Linked DNA regions of Drosophila melanogaster. Changing the gene in region 2 together with the main gene of any one other region gives a genetic interaction. Each region holds a gene or a part of one and is shown on either strand. Other genes may lie near its edges.

Region 1 (4,935 bases), on a different chromosome or scaffold from region 2:
TAAGAGATGCCAGCATTAAATAAACCTAACTCGTAAGCCACCAAAGCAGACACGGATCCCCACTAACTTATTCTACACAGATACACAAACGCAAGGATACGAAGCGACTATGAAAGGCACGTGTGTCCCGTACAACCTGGAAATGCGCTGCGATCAACCCTCGTCCCGTGCACGCCATGTACGCCATGTGCATCTGTTCCTGTCGTCGTTATTAATGCTGTTATTTGTTAAGTCGTTCATGGACTCCCCTCCTTGCGCTCACATTCCCGCCCCTCGAAGGACGCTCACCATCAACTTCCCAGTTCCTGATCATACCGCCCCGCCCCGCCCTGCCTCAGTTCACCTCGTTTATCCATGGATGGTTGATAACGTTGCATTGTTGAAGTAACTAGTTATGTATGTACTCAGTGTTATGTATGTATCGTTTTGCGAGAGAATACCAATAAACATTTTTACGTCCGTTCAAAAATACTTCAATCTTTTTACCATCATTACATTCGGAAAACGGTGGGCGAAGTGAAAAAATTCTTACTTTTAATAGGGTAAGTGCAATAAATTCGTATTTTTATTTTTCTTTCTAGAAAACTCTTTTAAAAACCTGATGGAAGTTTCAAAATCGGGTGAGTATTAACTCAGATATAACTAGTTGAATGCAATTGTAGTATCATTAGTGTTTATGTTTACTTTAAATAAGTATTTTAAATTAGCTGTCTTTATCCAGCATGTTGGAAATGATCCTAGTTCCTAGGGGATTAAATAATTTAGGGCATTATTTTCAATTTCCTAGAATCTGGAATGTATGTATTTGTTGCAGTTCAATCTTTAATTGTTAGAAACAGAGCATAAACTCCTAGATGTCAAAGGTTAAGGGAAAACGTTTAGCACATCTAGACTTCTTTGCCGTGAGTATACCCATTACCCCACCCATTCTAATTCCTTTGTTTCGAATCCTCTCAGCTGAATCTGTGCTCCTTTCTCCGCGCTCATCATAGAACAGCTGATGGCTGATGACCTAAGGACATCAAACCCTGGCTGGAATCGGTTCGATTTGCTACAGGTAAAAACCACCGATACCGTCCGTCCAAATCATTCATAATCCATGAGTGTAAGTGTCTGTCTGTATACTCGTAGTCTGTATACCCCGGGCATGATTCTCTCGAGTTTCCTGCGGTTCCTTGCTTTTGGCGCGCTCGTCCGTCATTTTAGCGCCAAAAATTTGTTAAGGATTTGCGCGGCAGGCTGCGCATGCGCCGCAAGACATCAAGACGTCGTCCCTTGGTTGGGTTCCTTTCCTTTCCTTCGGCCCTCTCTTTTCCGCTGCACAGCGAAACCCAGCCGATTTATGTCGCTGCAGTTGGGTCCAGCGAAGGGCACCAGGAGTACCAATACCAGTAACAGCGTCTCTCTCTGACGCTGATTTTCTACCACCACCTTTGGCTCGCCCAGAGTCCTGCCTTTGTGCGTTCCCTTTTTTTCGGCTGCCTGCCAGCCAGGTAGCTCCTGTCGTCTTCGATTGTGTCCACGCCGGATAAAAGAAGCGGCATTGCCATAAGAATAAGGAAAAGAATAAGGATGGGATGTGAATGTCTTGGGTTAGCTGTCTGTATGGGAGCAGAATGCCGAGTGCATGTGCTTTATTTTTTCCGGTTCAAGGTGCAACTGGTAACTGGCCAGCATTGCTAATTATCTTGGTTGGGTGTGCAGAAATCAAGTTTATTTCGCAGGGACACACAGGATGATAGGCAAAGACAGCTGCCTCTGGCCAAGGAGGCAGCAGCGAAGTTATGACTACGACTCGGATTACTTCACGCCCCACCAACACCATTACCACTACCACCACCACCGAGGTCCACCCATGATGTCGGCCAGCTTCAGTAGGCCGGCGAGTTGAAGGCACCGTTGTATCCGCCCCCATATCCACTGCCATAGCCAAAGGCATTGTGATTGTTCAGCACTCCAAATGGTCCCTTGTGGACGCCATCCTCCTTGTACTCGGTGTTCATCGAGAAATGATGGTCCCAATGGCTCGGATCAGCGGGATTGTGAGCCGGATAGCGATGATAGTTCATGCCGCTGGTGGCAGGAGCCTGACCAGCTGCTCCGGGCACTCCTGCCACTCCAGGTGCTCCCGGAACTCCAGCTACTCCAGGAACTCCTGGTTGAGCCACAGCTCCGGGTAGCACTCCATAGGCGGGGAACTGGGCTGGTTGAGGGTACGCTGGGTACTGTGGCAAGTATACTCCGGGGTAGGGATAGCCAGGATAGGCACCAGTTCCCGGGAAGTAACCAGGTGCTCCTGCACCCACTGGCTGCTGGGGAGGAACTCCCACCGGATACTGAGCAGGAACTGCTCCAGCAACAGGATAGCCAGGAGGAGAAACAGCACCTAAAAAGGGGACATTTCATTAATATCATAATTTCATATATATTTCAAAATGTGGATTTGCTATTCACCAATCTTTTAAATTTTGTATAACTTTTTTGGGAGTTAAGACTTGATATTAGTTTTCTGATTTCACTAAGATAAATGAACCACCTATTAGAAGGACCTACCTGCACTTTGGTAACCACCGGATGATGAGGATCCTCCTGAAGAGCCTCCTGCAGCTGGGTACGGAACTGGAGCCTGTTGTCCAGGAAAACCCGGAGGCGGATAAGCGGGAATCTGGTGACCTCCTGTAATTGTGAGTGCCGGATTTGGTGACTGGTTGCCAGGAAAAACAACGGAGTTCGTACTGGCCACTCGTACGCCAGAGCCACCCTGCTCATGGCCATGGGCATCGTCGATGGATCCAGTTGCGCCCGCATAACCCGATCCCAGCTGACCAAGGCCAGGATAAAGTTGCGAATTGAGATTGGCCCGCTGGCGATGGCGACTGCTGGTAATGCCTCCCGTCAGAGTGGAGGCCAGGTTAAACTCCGTCTTCTGATCCTCCTGACTTTCGTCCCTGCTGAATTGCGAGGCCTGACCGCTGGCTATCTGGATGAGGGCCAGAGCGGCGAATGCGATGACCCTCCTGCTTAACATGGCGTCTTTGGGTACACTAAAGCCCAGAAGCTCACGGCGCGTGTATTTCATGGTGAGATCTGATGACACGAGAGCTTAGCTGAGTGTCTATTTTTGGGGTTATCATCAGGGGCTCAATGCCCAGATATGTAGTTTAAGTCTCATTGAGTGTTCTTTCTAGTAAATTGAATGAGAGAGTCTACACTGAAAGCAAAAGTTGAAAATATAACACAACAATGTGCATATGCATAGATACTAGCCATAAATTTGAACAAATAAATGAATTTTTTAAAGAAATACCCATATACAAATTTATAAATATAAATGTTATATATAAATTTCTTGCAATGTATAAATTTGCGGCCTAAAGCCAAGTAATAGATAAGTTGAGACGCATTTTTGGTTTAGGGATTTCCCAAGCAATTCATAACTCATCTTTGCATAGATGATGATCATGAGTTATGATCCTCCCTTTATATAGAGAACGAAAGCTTTCCCAGTCAACCTTGTTTACCAGTCAATAGATTAGTATTATAAGTACATATGTACATATAGCATTTGTTCCATTACCCAAGGTTCTTCCACTCGATTCCATTCATCTTTCTTATCGCCATGTGCTGCTGCTGGCTATAAAAGCCGCATGGACATTGGGACTATCAGCAAAATTGCTCTACATATCCCAAGATGCAGTTGTTGGCTGCGATTCTAGTGCTAATCCTGGCCAGCTTGGCCCACGGTAGACCCACTTTCGATAAGATTGCGGAGCTTCTGTTCGGCGACCCAAATCATTATCCGCCAGCAAGGCCAGTTGATCCACAGCTACATCCTGGACCAGGTCCACTCATCCAGGAGGGCTACGAGCAGGGCTACGACTATCACTATGGTGGAGGCTACGGCTACGGTGGTAGCCACCAGCAGACGCATCCAGGTGGCTATGCCTATTACCCACCACGACCGGTTCCGGCAGCAAATGACTACTATCCACCACCTTGGTCAGTGCGTCCTTCGCCTGGATACTACTCTCAGCCGTCTCATCCTGCCAGTGTCCATTATCCGCACAAGAATCAGGATCTTTACGGAGGTGGAGGTGGTTACAAGCAGCGGGGTTACTAACGTTCATCCGTCAGATACCCCAGTCTCATCCAATCATGTGCTGTCTCATTTGTTTATGTGTAATTTATTAAAATTTCGTTTATTTCCAACGAGCTTTTAGAACCTGTTTTGAACTTATGACAAAGACGATCTCGGGTGGAGCAATTGAACAATGGTCTACGAATATATATACAACAAGTGTGAATCGGGGAACTCCCTCTTAGAAGATTCATCTTCGTCTCACATCAATGGGAATTGAGGGAACCTCCGGGTTTGGCACATGGATATATTTGCTAGAGCTGGGGAATATAATAGCACGATTTTCGGAGAGTTCGTCCAATGGTTTTGGCAATGGCTCCGGCACGATCCAAGTGGGAAAAGTGGGCGTGGGTGGATCCGGATTATGGGGCGGCACCAACGGCGGTCGATTGGTTCCTATTATGAGCGTATCCTTCGTTGGCTGAGCGGTTGGACGTGGCTGGATCGTGGGAAAGGTGGGCTCTGGCTTAGGTGTTGTCGTTGGAAAGATGGGTCCTGGTATTGGCGTTTGTGGAGTGGTGCTAGACTCATTATCTGGATTCCAATTCGTGTTTGGATCATTGGGATCCGGCTGATCGGGGAGGCGTGGATAGTTATCCCATTCCTGTTCCATCCCTCCATTCCAGCCTGGCCTTGGTGGCGGAGGTCCTCCGCCATTCCATCCTGGCCTTGGTGGCGGTGGCCCTCCTCCATTCCAGCCTGGCATCGGTGGTGGTGGCCCGCCGCCGTTCCATCCTGGTCTTGGCGGCGGTGGTCCGCCGCCGTTAAAACCTGGTCTTGGTGGAGGTCCTCTTCCA
Region 2 (5,721 bases):
CAAGTTATTTACCCCACCCCTCGTGAAATTGAAATTTGCTTTTGATTTGATTTTTTAGGCTGAATACGAATCGCTGCATACAAATTGAGTGCGCTTAAAATGCAACAAGCAATGCAAATTAATAGTACTAATTTGAATTTCAAATGTGTTAGGTGAGATGGGGAAACCCAGATTTCTTCGAGTGCATCCAGAAAAAATTGAGAGCACATTAAAATACCTTTTGTCTAAAATAAAACTAATTAAAATATTTTTAAAGAATAACCTATAAGATTTTATTTATTTATTTGCCTAGAACCTTACATTTAATATCAATGATACTTATAAGAAGCAGTTCAATTCTCAGAATTAAAAACTCCTTTAGTCCCATTTCTAAGTAAGAACTATAAAATTAAGAGAATTAGACCTTGTTATGGTTTCCGGAATTTGCCACTCAGCCTTATGTAAATATAATTGAAAACCTAGTGGAGCATTATCAGCAATATTTATGACCCATATGTGAGCTAGCCAAACAGCGCAGATAACCGAAGCGAAATTATGGCCCAACAAAAAGTTTTCCAGCTGTAAAAGAGTTTGTTTCAAAAGAAAAGATTCGTGGTTTATGCTTCTAAAAATTGTTTTTTCTTGTATATTTCTCAGTTTTATACGAATGTGTTGCATGTAGTTTAAGTTATTTTTGTTTGATATTCCGTGGCTTCTTGTGTAGATCGTATTGTGGTTTGCGTACATCAAGGAGTAAATAGCAAATCTAGTTTATATTTATAGAATTTACACACAGTACATAATTATATGAAATATTCATTTTTATTTTTCGTAATTATTATTATTTTTTTTTAATTTTTTATCTCTGATTGGTTGGTATTACAAATATTCATTACACTTACTTTAAATATAAGTTGACTTAAAGAACATTATTTCAATTGTTGGTTTGTTGTATGCTTGCAGATAATCGTAATAATAGTTAATAGAACTTAAAGCGAAGTTAAACTAAAACAATGTTTGAACATCTCAGCAATGGGTTCTTCATTAACAAAATTGGAAGTTGTAGAATGTGTTCTGGCTAAGACTTAAAAAACTTTGGTTGAACTTTGAGAACAAATAAGAGTGAGTGAACTTCGTGTTGGCTGCACTTCTTTTTACCTAACAATGTAGACATTTACGATGATAGAAGAGAGTGATCCTGCTATTTTTGCGGCTACTACTGTTCTTTAGGTGGTTGATTATTTTCTGTTTGCGAAACTTAAGTGTAACTAGCGCTCTTTAAACTACAGTTTAGTATCACAGAATAGCGCAAAAGCCAGAGATGTGTCAGCCTTTGCAATCGTTTTGTGCTTTTATCTTTTTTGTTTTCCATGAAAGTATCTCAAACAGGGTTTGGAAATGGTTTCATTCTATATCTCTGGTTGTCTCTTCAACGTAATCCCCTTTTTTTTGGTATTTAACTCTTGTGGAAGTCACTTTACTGATGAGCCGCTCCCATCCTCTGGCCGTACATGGCGTATGGCGAGTAGTAGGGTCCCAGAGCAGCTGCCGCAGCCGCCGCGGCAGGATTGAATGCTCCAGCGGCGCCGAAGGGCGAAGGTCCTCCAGCCAAGGCGCCTGGTGGTGGCTTGGCGTATGGATGATACCTCGCCGCTGCCGCAGCCGCTGACATGGGACTCAGTGGTGGTGTTGGATAGCCAGCTCGGAGAGCCGATGGCGGAAATAGGGTTCCCAGCAGGGATTGAGCCTGCGATTGGGCCAAGGCCGCCGCAGCAGCCGCCGGATCGGAGAGATTGCCCGTATGGGTGCGCAGGTGGGAGAAGAGCTCGTCGGAGGTCTGGAATCGCTTGCCGCAGTAGGCATCGCCCACCACCCAACTGCACACGTAGGGTGCCGAACGGGCTGCCGCCGCGTTTGCCGCAGCAGCGGCCGCTGCCTGCGAGTATGGATGAGCTGGTGGCAGTCCGGCGGCACTGGCCATGGCCAGGCCGTATTTCTGATGCTCGCACTGGGTGCATCCGGCGGGGCAGGGGGCACCCATGAGCATTTGTTGCGTGTGCGCCGAGTAGGGACATCCCTGGCAATACGGATCCTTGCAGACTGGCACTATAGCCTCGCCGCCAGCTGGTGTCTTGATGCGCTGATAACTTATGTACGGATTGGGCTGTCCGGCTGGTCCACCGCCGGGAGCTCCGCCTGGATATCCTCCATTGGCGGCAACTGCCAACATGGCGGCGTGATGGTGTGAGAATCCTCCGGCAAACGGTGGCCGGAAAGCGGGATTGGCGTGCTGCTCCATTCCGGGCGGGCAGCACAGGGCGGACAGGGGATTCAGCCCATAGGGTCCGGCGGCCTTGTAAGCCGCTGCTGCTGCTGCTGCCGCCGCAGCCATGCTGCTCATTTCCTTGGGATGCTGGGCGGTTCCGTTGGCATTGTTCAGCACCTCCATGCCGGAGCGCACAATGGGACTGGCGCCGCGTTGCGACGATCCCGACGGGGAGACAGTCTTTCGGCTGGATGAGGAATCGTGCGCGGAAATCTCCGCCTTGCCGCCATCTGTGGGCGTGGCATTTGATTTGCTGCGCGATGGCACACGCTCCTGGGCGGATGAGGAGTTCTTAGAGCTGGGACGCGTGGGTTCCGCATCCAGCGAAGAGCTGCTCTTGAAGGAGTTCTGGTTCTGGTGGCTCAGCACATTGGTCTCGTAGGGCTTGAAGGCCAGTTTGATTTCACCGGTGCTGGTATTACTCAGACTTGCGCTGGTTGCCGTCGAGCTGATTGGAGTGCTCGACTTGGGCGATTTGGCCTGGCCGGAGGGTGACTTGGCTGCCGAGATCTCAGCACTGCCCGAGGAACTCGACGAGTTCGACGACGAGGAGCATGCTCCGGGCTTTGTCTTGTTCTTGTCCATTGCCAGCAGGGGTTTCACTGCCGACGAATCCGCTCCAATTTGGGAGCAAGTCTGTGCGAGCAGAGCCAAGGGACTCTTTTTGGCGTCCATCTGTTATGAATAAAATGAAAATGTGGAGTTGGAATTAGGTTTTTTGTAATTTTAAAGTTTTTTACGAGTTTTAAGATAATATTGATTTTAATTTGGTGAGAAGTTAAAACTATGAGAAAATGCAATTTCTTCCAAAGAAAGTTTGTTCGTGAAAGTATTAATGACGATATAAATTTTTAGATTTGAAAAATTGTTTGATGTTATGAACTTTCCAAATTTAATTCTTAAGTACGCAAAATTTAAAACCATAGATTTTACGGCCATCCCAAAATTTTACAGCTTTTAACTTAGTCAATACTAACCGTCGTTGGCAATGGGGCCAGATAATCCGGTTGAAGGTACTGGTTGTTACCGATGGTAACAACGCCGCCGCCTCCTTCCAAGACAACCATATCAGTTGCTTAGTGTGTTTTCTCGAGGGTAATCCACGTGAGTTGCGAGACAAGGCTACAAATGCGTAGCTTTGCTTCGGCGACGATGAGGTTAATCCACAGAAATGCGTCGGCAAACGTTGGTAAATCCAAAGAAAATCGGCGATTTAACACACTTGTAGTTTTGAGCAGAGAATTTATCTCTGTAGCACTATTTCAATTTGCTGGCCAAGCGATTTGTGTTTTGGCTCTGATTTCACTTTTTCACTCGAAACGAAACACTCTCGATCAGTGACCACAGTTGACTGAGGTTTCTTATTTTTGTTGGTTATATCTCTTGTCACTCGAATGGTTTTCAGGTTTTTCCGAACACGTCTGAACGCTGCGAAGTCAAAATTCGAATTGAATTCAACGACTGCGGCAGCGAGCGTAACTGCCCTCGCAGCGAAGCGTTCGCTCACTCGCGAGAGAGCGCTCTCCGGCGAGCAGCGCTGCACACTTTGGCTTGCTGCCTGCGTTAGAGGAGCACCGCCTGCTGCATGCGAGCGAGATGCACTGTGCGTAATTTTCAAATATGGCGTACTTTTTGTCCAATCACAATCGCATGCGCCTTGCAATGGAAGCCAAGACAGGTTTTCTCTCTCTCGCTCTCCGATTTGGCTTCCTGTAAAATCATAATAATATGGCTGCACCACGGCAACACTCGTCCAGAGAGCAACAGTTGAGCGCTGAGAGCGCCGCTCAGTGAGTTGTTGTTGTTGTGGCTGCTTTGGGGGGCACATTAATTTTATCTTGGCACATATGTCACGCTCACTCTCCCTCTCTGTGTCTCTCTGGGGGAACTTTTTCTTGATGGGGCTGTCAGCAGCAGCAGCGCTGCAGTGGTGGCGGCAGCGGCGCGGCAGAGGCCTCATTGTCTTCGCACCGAGATTTGTTGCTCGGAAAAGCAAACCACTCAACACTTAAACACACTCTTCAACCATTTCCATCGCCTCGCTTCGCTCGTTTTAATGTCATATAAAAATTAATTTGTTTGTCGCTCTCCCGCTCTGGCACTTCACCTCTCTCCCTCTGACCCGCTCACTCGCACAGCTGTTGTTGTGGCCTTTGTTTAGCGTTTTTCGATTAACTTCTGCGGTTGGTTTTCCCTCTTTTTTTTCGTGGCTCCTGTTTTGCTGTTTAAGTGGAAATCGTTGTTTTGTTGTCGCGTCGAAAAGTTTTTCCAAGCAATTTTTCCTCCTTCCTTGGTGTGTGTGTAATTAATCTGCACATATCAAACAAGCGAATGTGTGTTGTGGCATGTTGCACTCAGAGAGTTGGTAATAGTTTAATGGTTTGGTTAACTCCGCTGCATTTTTAATCGCTCTACAATTGGATTGAATTTTCCAGTTAGCACTTGCCTAACTTACTTATTTACGTTTCGCACGAAATCGCGTTAATCACGTTGCTTGGTTTCAAGATAATTACTGAATACTAATAATGTTTAATTGCAAAACGAGGCTGATTTATATTAAATTATTAAGAGCTAATAATAGGCTAGCTCCTTCTAAACATAATTGATTACTATTATTTAAGTAGTTAGAAAATATTATGTGACTAATCATTTAGATTTTGTTGATCTAGATCATTCTAGCCACTTTACCTAACCGATATTAAAACTCCAACGTAATCCCAACCAAATCGGTTGGACTAACCATAAACTATGTATCAAGATGTTTAACTCAAGCCCCGAGGGGATTTTGGAATATCTGGCCCTTGGGATATGTTACCTAATCACCAAGCTGAGTTTTAAGAACCCTTCAAAGCCCCTGGCAAGTAAATTAAAATCTGTATAAATATGGACGATAAGCCGAAAACCCAGAAGCGACACTTTTAATCCCGATTTAGAGTGTTTAGACATTTTTCTGTGGGAATCCCTAAGCCGAAACCCGGCAGCGAAATACCTTCGAGGCTAAAACAGGTAGAGGAAACACTCTCGGCCTTCGGCGAAATGATGGATTTATTAGTTAAGAGCGTGCTGCGATACTTTACGATACGGCTTAGACATAATTTGCGGTTTTGCGTGCAACAAAGCGAAAAAAGTGTTGCCAAAATAATGTATATACGTGTATATATGCATGTATACTGCTGCAGAGTTGGAGAGTTTACGCACACGTTCCATAGCATTTTCTCTTATTATTTGTTATTTTTTATGGCCACTTTGTCAGCGTCATAAATTCGCTGCTCCTGTATGTGAATTATTTACTAGCAAATTGCGGGAGTGGGCTGAAGGTAAATTCAAACCAGTGGCCGGGGGTGTCATATAAATAATACAAAAATATTATAAATTACACGAAGCCGAAGAAATTGCCAAGCGGAAGTGCGGAACAC

The links.
Region 1: of noc (region 2) and Elal, changing one enhances a phenotype caused by changing the other (phenotypic enhancement), as found in Drosophila melanogaster (one study listed by BioGRID).

The regions. Positions count from the first base shown.
Region 1 is NT_033777.3:24,863,463-24,868,397, reverse strand, and holds Elal (Elastin-like), read right to left. Parts: upstream 3,049-4,935; 5' UTR 3,029-3,048; coding exon 2,554-3,028; intron 2,387-2,553; coding exon 1,872-2,386; 3' UTR 747-1,871; downstream 1-746. Other genes in the region: Srg1 (Sting-regulated gene 1), read left to right, coding at 3,692-4,120; CG7016 (uncharacterized protein), read right to left, coding at 4,329-4,935.
Region 2 is NT_033779.5:14,488,897-14,494,617, reverse strand, and holds noc (no ocelli), read right to left. Parts: upstream 3,760-5,721; 5' UTR 3,373-3,759; coding exon 3,283-3,372; intron 2,981-3,282; coding exon 1,457-2,980; 3' UTR 599-1,456; downstream 1-598. UniProt on the Drosophila melanogaster protein: May negatively regulate Notch-induced cell proliferation in the eye-head primordium. Required for development of the supraesophageal ganglion and ocelli.